Linked DNA regions of Oryzias latipes. The protein of the gene in region 1 binds, or shares a complex with, the protein of each later gene. Links are inferred from orthologs where the notes say so. Each region holds a gene or a part of one and is shown on either strand. Other genes may lie near its edges. The genes, in order: fgf23 and fgfr3.

Region 1 (4,267 bases):
AGCGGTCTCTCCCGGGATAAGTTGCGTCCGTCATCACCGACCTCCATCTCCATCTCTGTCTCCACCTCCACGTCGGCGTCGTCCTGCTCCGCCACAGCCCGAGAGTCGGAGCCCTCCTCCGCCGGTCTGTGGTAGACTCCGTGCGGGTCCGAGGGATCCACGATCCGTTTCCTCTTCTCCCTGTGCGGGATGAGGCGCTCCAGCGGCACCGTGTTCTTCTTGGGTAGGAACAGGGAGGTCTGCGGCACGTTCTGACCTGCGATGTACACCTGTTTGGACCCCTCCAGGTTGAACAAGATGCTGGTCCGAGTGGAGTAGTACACGTCTCGGTTGTTTTCCAGGAGTTTGTGATTGAAGAGGCACTCCTCTCTGAGGCAAATAGGCTAAAAAAGGGGGGAACGGAGAGGAATTTCATTGGATTCAGTGCATTCGAATTAAAAAATAAATTCATGTTTATCTATAGTACATTTTCCATTCATGAAAAGAATTTTACGCATGGAAAAACTGTTTTTGGTTAAAAAAAAAAAACTTTAAACAAAAATGTAAAGTTATTTAAATTGTTTGTATTCGTCTTATTTGGTGCATTCAAAACATTTTTCATGTTTTTTTTTGCGTCGGGTATTTTAAACAAACAGACTTTTTGTGATTTTTAAGTTCATAAACTCTGCAAATGTGGCAGAGATCCGACCAAATCGTTATATTAACTACTTTAAGGCAGAAAGCAGGTAGTCAGACAATTAAACCGGATTTTTTAAAGGACCCGATGCTGCGTTTGTGCGTAAAAATAGTGCGTTTTCACGCACGGTTTAACAGTTCAGACATGTTCTGAAGAAGCTGCTCGGATGATCAATAATACCTATTTTGGATCAATCTTTTAAGTCTACAGGCCCTGTTGAGAAGAATTGTGTGAGGGGGTGCGTAAAACTTCATGGAGTTAAATAATAATAAAAGAAAAGACGATCAAAGATCAAGATTTAGTCGGCATTGACTAATAAAATGAAAAGGATGAACTGTATGCTCACCGAGCTGAATGGATTACCCTCCAGATCCATACACAGGTAACGGTTACTCTTGACTCCAAGGATGGCGACTCGATCCCTCGTTTCAGACTTAAGTAAAATCACACCTGGAAAGATTGAATAAAAAAGATTTAGCGCCAAGTTATTCCAGATAAATCCAAATGAAGACCAGTGCACAGCATTTAAGAAGATACTAGAATAAAAGCCCATCTCACTGTATGATGTTCTGCTCGCAGCTTTGCGCACGGTTCCATCTGATCTGATCTCCAAGTAGAAGTTGCAGACATCCGTGGATGTCTGCAGGTGAATGAATCTCCTCGGGTTTCCCCAGTTGGAGCTAACGAGCGGGGATGGATCTGGGGTTACTTGCCGGACAGAAAACCCCTGTAGAACGGCGAGTACGAGCGCCAGCATGGTAGTGTCCCTCATCACCTGTCCCATGCGAGCTGTTGGGTGCCCGTTGTGCCGAAGTTTGGTGACAGTTCGTATTTAAAGGCCCTGAGTGCCACTCCTGCTCACATCCTTTGGGTTAAAAAAAAAAAAGCAACTCGCCCCCAAAGCCGATGTGCGGGTTGCTGCAGCGGAAGGGCCACTTCCACCTCTGTTTGTGTCCCAATGTTGTTGGTCAGACAACACGACTCCTATTTTTGGGCTCACTTCTTGAGTCAGCCACCTTAAACTGTTCATTTTCTGGTTCTGGTTTTAGTTTGGGAAGGAAAAACATATTTGGCTAAAGTAAAAAGATGACAGAAATATGAATATTTAATAGCTTATACTAAACTCAAACTGTGTTTTTATGTCAATCGGGTCAATATAATTTAAATATAATTCAAACTGCAGGGTTGACTAATTTGCATATGTTTATATTTGGATTTAGTAGTTAAATCTCGGTTTTTAATAACTTTTCCATTCATAAATTTGGTTCAGTTTGATAAATTTATGCACCTGCAAACCGAAGAGATCCACCGTTTCACCAGCAGATGGAGACACTTCCTCACACAGCATTCTTCAACTTAGTGCAACGTTACCTTTAGCCTCCAAATATGATGTTTGCCTCCTTTAGTATTCTGGATTTTAAAAAATGCTGTGTGCTGTATGCAAGTGTTTAAAACAAGAGGGGGAAATCGCAAGAAAATCTTTTTGCAAGTTTTTTTTAAATTGTCGTTTTTGAAATCCGCAATTTAACACAAAGTGAAAAACAGTAACGAACCTCATTAATTAAGTATCCTGCTTTTTTTTGAACAACAAATGCACTTTTATCGAGCAAAAACCTAATTTTAATTTCCTGTTTTTAGTTACTGAATAATGCGCTTTTTATGTATTCAAATATATTATTAGTCAAGCATCCATCCATCCATCTGAAGTTCATTTTTTAAAACTGTCTTTTTTTGAAATCCAGAAATTGACACAAAGCTAAAAAATACTAAAAATCATGCCTGAGTTTTCCTATTACAGGCTAAAGAAAAGTCATTTTTTTTATCAGTTTCTTGGAACTTCTAACATATTACATGCAGATTACAGTTTTGTGTGTTCGTTTGTGCATGTATCGATAAATTATTTTTAAAAGGTGACAAATACACGGCTATAGTGGAAAGTGTTTACTCTTTAAATTGTGTAATGAGCTAAAAAATAATGATGCCTAAAAATATGATCTTGTCTTTTGAAGTAACTGCTATGATAGTGTTTGATTTTAAAAAAAAACAACACAACAGAAACAGTCTGATTAAATGGTGTGCTCTGAGGAACTGAGGAGTAGGAGGCATGTTTAAGCAAATGAGATAATTGATTGTGAAGAGATACTAACCTCTATTATTCTTTATGAGGGAAATACAAGTATTTATATTAAAGACCCACTCAGATAAAAACAGTGTTTATAACGTGGAGGACGTATATAAAGAAAGTTAAGCTCAAAGTTTCATTTCTTAGTATGTGTTTATTCAAATCGTTGTGAATCAGGAGCAGATGAAAAAATGCTGTTTGAAAAAGATCATATTTGTAAAAATATGCTGGGCGGGCCAAAGGCTCCCTGCTCTGCACCATTCTGATGCTTCCACTTCTAGACAAATCTATCCATGTACGTCTTTGTTTTCCCCATCTGAGTTCGAATCTGGTTAAGAACTGGACAGCTGGATAGCTCCAATATTGCTCACCAGTTTTGTGGCACAGCTACTGTTAGGATGGGGGTATGAGGGGCTGTAAGCTAGCAGGAAAGCAGTAAACAGATGAATGTGGGGAAGTGGTGGCGCGGCCGCTCTGCGCCTACAACTCAGAGGTGAATATTTAATTAATTCGTGCCGCTCTGCAGAATCTATGTCCAAGAAAACCAAACCGGTTTTTGGGATTTTGGCTAAAAAAGGCACAATTAAAAACCACTGGGAACAATTTGAAGATAAATCAAAGATTATTGGAATGGGTTTTTATGTTAATAGACAATTTTATCGAAATAAAAGCACAAGAGTCCTTGAGAAATTAATGACACATCATAAAGGGGCATTATTAATGTGTTTCACTGCCTTTATGTCTGTTTGCGTTGCAAATTTCCTGTGGTAATAACACTATATTAAAAATAATGATGCCTAAAAATATGATCTTGTCTTTTGAAGTAACTGCTATGATAGTGTTTGATTTAAAAAAAAAACACAACAGCAGCGGGATAAAAAAAAAAACAACAAAACTTTTATTATAATTAGGAATACAGTAGACTGCTGTGCACAGCACATACGTACAAAAATAAAAGGAAAATTTTACTCAGCATTGTCTTTTTTTCAGAAACAAATAACTTAAGCGAGTTTCTTCTTCTTCATTTACAGTCATCAGCAAACCAAACTAAGGCAGAGGGTGAGGTATATGAGAACAGAGGAGACGAACAGAGTTCCCAACGCCTAACATTATCTTATTTTCATACCTCATACCATTTGGACATGAAAATAGGTTGACATTGAAAGAAATATTTCCTCACCTTGACATTTTTAATGATTAAAATGATGTGGGGAAAAACTAATGACTCAGCAGATGCATTTTGTTTTTGGTCAAAGCTGAAAGGGGTTTGGGTTTAGACACAACCTTTTTCTCTTTTAGGCATCCGTATTTTTGAGTCAACCATCAAAAGCTGAAGATGCTTCATCTTTTTTTCTCAGCTGAGCTCGCCAAAGATGCACATTGTGTTCAGAAAACCTTCAACATACACTTTAAATTTCCTTTTTCTCCACATTTAGCCTTAGTATATGTACTAGTATATATTTATAGAG
Region 2 (3,345 bases), on another chromosome or scaffold:
ACGGCTACGCTGACCATAATCTGACTCTGAGTCGCCAAAAGGTTCAGAATTTCTTTGTTTTTTAAACCTATCCGGAAAAAAAGCTGCAGAAAACGCTCCACATCTTTCATCTTCAAGCTAAGCTATGATAAACAGACAACTTTGGCGTTTTCTTCTCGTTCTCTGATTCTTTTTCTTGTAGATTTAGGAGATTTTAAGTCGTAAATTTAAAACTTAAAAGTCGTAATAAAAAAAAAAAGTGTTTGTAAATTGACCCTAAAACTCCGTCGTAATACAATCATGCTCAGACCTTTTTTGAATAAAAAGCACATTATCTGATGGTTTCAGCAAAGGATGCTGGGAAAGGGAGTTTTAAATGAACACTTGCTCTTAAGACGATCCCCCCCACAGCCAGATGTAGTACAGGAGGAGTCGAGTGCAAGCTATGTTAGCCGAAGGTGCTGCAGAGTTCATGCATGTGGATGTTTTGGCGGTTCTCTGAAGGCTTCCTGTGACGTAAATATGTGGCCGTGAATCTAAGATGAACGTGGCACAAAGAGCTGCTGTCATTCTTGCCCAGCAAGAGTTAATCGGGCTGAGAGGAAACCTCCAGCTCCCCGGACAGCTCAGACTTCCCGCTCCGGCCTTTCGCATCACACTCGCCCTCTAAGCTCCGCCTCTTGTCGCCCGTACATAATGCATTTTTATAAAACTGTAAACAAACAGAAAAAAAAAAAAAAGATGGATCACAACCTGGAAGAGACCGCCAGCTGCGACAATAGGTTCCGCTGTAAAATAAGTTACAAAACGTTGAAATAAAAATCTGTGTGTACAGTACTAAAATTCTACACTAGACCTTTCAGACTCCAAACCGCATGTTAAGTCTATAAATATCTTTACAAATATACATGTTAATTATTCAAATAAACCTTTTAAATGATTACATGTTTTACAAGGACAGTGTCTTCCATTCTCACATATTATCTTACATTTTTTGTCTTTAAAGTACATGGCTGTAGACAGCAATATGATACCCATTTGCTAATATATATTTACACTAAACCCTCTTCTGGATAGCCGATAGAAAAGTCTTGGAACCCTTGTTTAGTGATCAGCCCTGAACTGCTTTGCAAACAAAGCTGCATGTGATGAAGATGGGACGAAGACGCTCTCTTCGGGAGTAAATTTCTTTGCCGATTTTTTGATTTTCTGCATCCCTTTGCTTTTGGATCAGACCTTTTGTTTCTATCTGAGGGGTCTGTGCAGACAAGAGCCAATCAAAAACCAGGCTCTTGCTCGCTGTCACTCATAAATGCCCATCATTTCCTCCTCGCATCCTTTTTTCTTCAGCGTCTGGAGGTTTATTCCCAGTAGGCACGGAATGGTTTCCCCACACGCGGTAGCAAAAGACTGGCCCGAGTAAAAAAATATACTTTCTTTTCCGAAAAGAGCACGACTACGGTTCACTGGCAAAAGAAAAGAAAAAATTCCTTCAATTCTGGAAGAAAAAAAACCTCGTTTAAAAAGTTTAAGACGAGCAGAAGAGCTGTGGAAGTATTGCATGGTGAGTTTAGACCTCCAGGGGTTTTGGGAGGGGAACTGTGACAGGAACCCCCACCCAGCGGCGCTTTTATGTCCTGATCACGCCGTTGCTGGGCAGCTGCTTTGGAAGACAGGGCTCGTCGGGCAGCGGGTCGTGGGCAAACACGGAGTCGTCTCCAGAGGAGCAGGTGCTGTTGGAGTCCTGACAGGTGGGAGAATACTGCTCAAAGGGCACCGACAGGTCCAGGTAGTCCTGTCAGAGGAGGATCATAGGTTACGTCTGATGAACCTCCCAAAGGAGCTATAACCGCTCAAGTGAATCCGTTCTCCATGTATGTGGAAAAATAACAATTTCACAATTTGGATCCTAATTATGCAAATAAACACAAACCGACTCACGCCATAAGTCATTCACAAACAACGGACGTGACTAATACTTTGATTGATAGCAGATGCATTAAAATGTCTGCCGTGGCACTAGCTCATCATCATCCATCAAAGGAGACGTTGGCGTCTTCCTCCTTACACGTGGGAGGGGCTACAGATGAAGCCGTTTTGGGAAATGGTGGTTGGTGCTTTTAGAGGAGCTGTGGATCCAACGCTTCCACATGACACGCTCAACTTCTGATGTGACGCTGTGGGACCTCTGGTGGCCCCCGCTGTGCAGCGCCCAATGGTATGCGGCTGTTGGTAACGTGACTTATTTATTTAAAACGTGTTTCCATTGCAGTTTAGCGAAATAAGTCAATGTGGATACGACTCAAGAACTCCTCCAAGAGCAAAAACCTTTTTATGATTAATGCTGATTTTTTCAAATTGTCGTGTTTTCATTAGGCGAATTTATCGCATATTTAATTTGTATCATTTCATAGTCAACGAAAACACAACTAGTGAAGCAAGACTTTGTTTATCAGCCAAAGCTCAGCATGACAGTGATAGTGAGGTCTAACAGGTGGACAGCAGTTGTGTGTTTGTAGACTTACATCTGTGGAGGTCATCGATAAAATCCGGTCTAGATCTTCAACCAGCTGTCTGAACGTGGGCCTTTGGGAGGGGACCGCATGCCAGCACTCCCTCATGATCATGTACCTGAAACCCAGACAGAAAGCTCTCACACATCTGGATCCAGAAACCCTCTGAACACAGACTTGATCCCAGTCGTCTTCTCCTCCCTCCAGGTCAGACACCTACAGCTCGTGAGTGCAGTTGGCAGGTTTGTCCATCCGATGTCCCTCCTTCAGCAGCTTGAAGAGCTCCTCCACTGGGATTCCCGGGTATGGAGAACCTCCCAGGGTGAAGATCTCCCACAGCAAAACCCCGTAAGACCATCTGAGCCAAAAACAACCAACAAATGCAGTGTTCAGATGCGTTAGGAAGCACATTTGCTCTGTTGGAGCTCTAAGAGAAGCTTTGAACTGTTTGGAATTGACTATTGATCTCAACAATGGTAACTGCACTCAATTTAGAAATCAATTCCAACCTCTTTTAGCCTGAGACAGGAGGTCAATAAGGTTTGTAAACTCATCATCGCTTCCCTCCAGACACAAACAAGAACAGACAGATAAAAAGATGATGGACTGACTTTATTATAAGAAGAAAATGAACTGGAACTGAGTTTTGGGGCAAGTAGAAAACCCCATTTAACAGACTGTTTTTACTTTTATAAGGTTAATGCGTGACATTAATCACATATGCATTTCCTCTACACACCGTCCCTGTGATGAGTAACAGAAACAAACATCTTTCATCTTTTGCAGCAGCTCTGCCGGTTCTGAAAAGGTTAGTAAGGTAATGAAATAATGTGAGGTGGATTAACCTGCAGGA

What was found.
Region 2: the proteins of fgf23 (region 1) and fgfr3 are in contact, whole or in part, in a cryo-EM structure (PDB 7YSU), measured with the Homo sapiens proteins. The link is inferred for Oryzias latipes from reciprocal best matches to the Homo sapiens genes FGF23 and FGFR3. Residues at the interface, in NP_065689.1 of Homo sapiens: Ser29, Leu32, Gly33, Ser34, Trp36, Tyr43, Ala45, Ala47, Arg48, Asn49, Ser50, His52, Ile75, Arg76, Ser77, Glu78, Asp79, Ala80, Gly81, Val83, Val84, His117, Gln118, Thr119, Asn122, Gly123, Tyr124, Asp125, Leu158, Ser159; in NP_000133.1 of Homo sapiens: Glu157, Arg158, Asp160, Lys161, Leu163, Leu164, Ala165, Val166, Pro167, Arg223, Asp244, Leu246, Glu247, Arg248, Ser249, Pro250, Val277, Tyr278, Ser279, Asp280, Ala281, Gln282, Pro283, His284, Ala312, Gly313, Ala314, Thr316, Thr317, Asp318.

Annotation. Positions count from the first base shown.
Region 1 is NC_019881.2:17,684,853-17,689,119, reverse strand, and holds the start of fgf23 (fibroblast growth factor 23), read right to left. Parts: upstream 3,045-4,267; 5' UTR 1,461-3,044; coding exon 1,023-1,460; intron 384-1,022; coding exon 1-383. UniProt on the Homo sapiens protein: Regulator of phosphate homeostasis. Inhibits renal tubular phosphate transport by reducing SLC34A1 levels. Up-regulates EGR1 expression in the presence of KL. Acts directly on the parathyroid to decrease PTH secretion. Regulator of vitamin-D metabolism.
Region 2 is NC_019880.2:21,749,955-21,753,299, forward strand, and holds the end of fgfr3 (fibroblast growth factor receptor 3), read right to left. Parts: intron 2,851-3,345; coding exon 2,713-2,850; intron 2,611-2,712; coding exon 2,505-2,610; intron 1,775-2,504; coding exon 1,610-1,774; 3' UTR 658-1,609; downstream 1-657.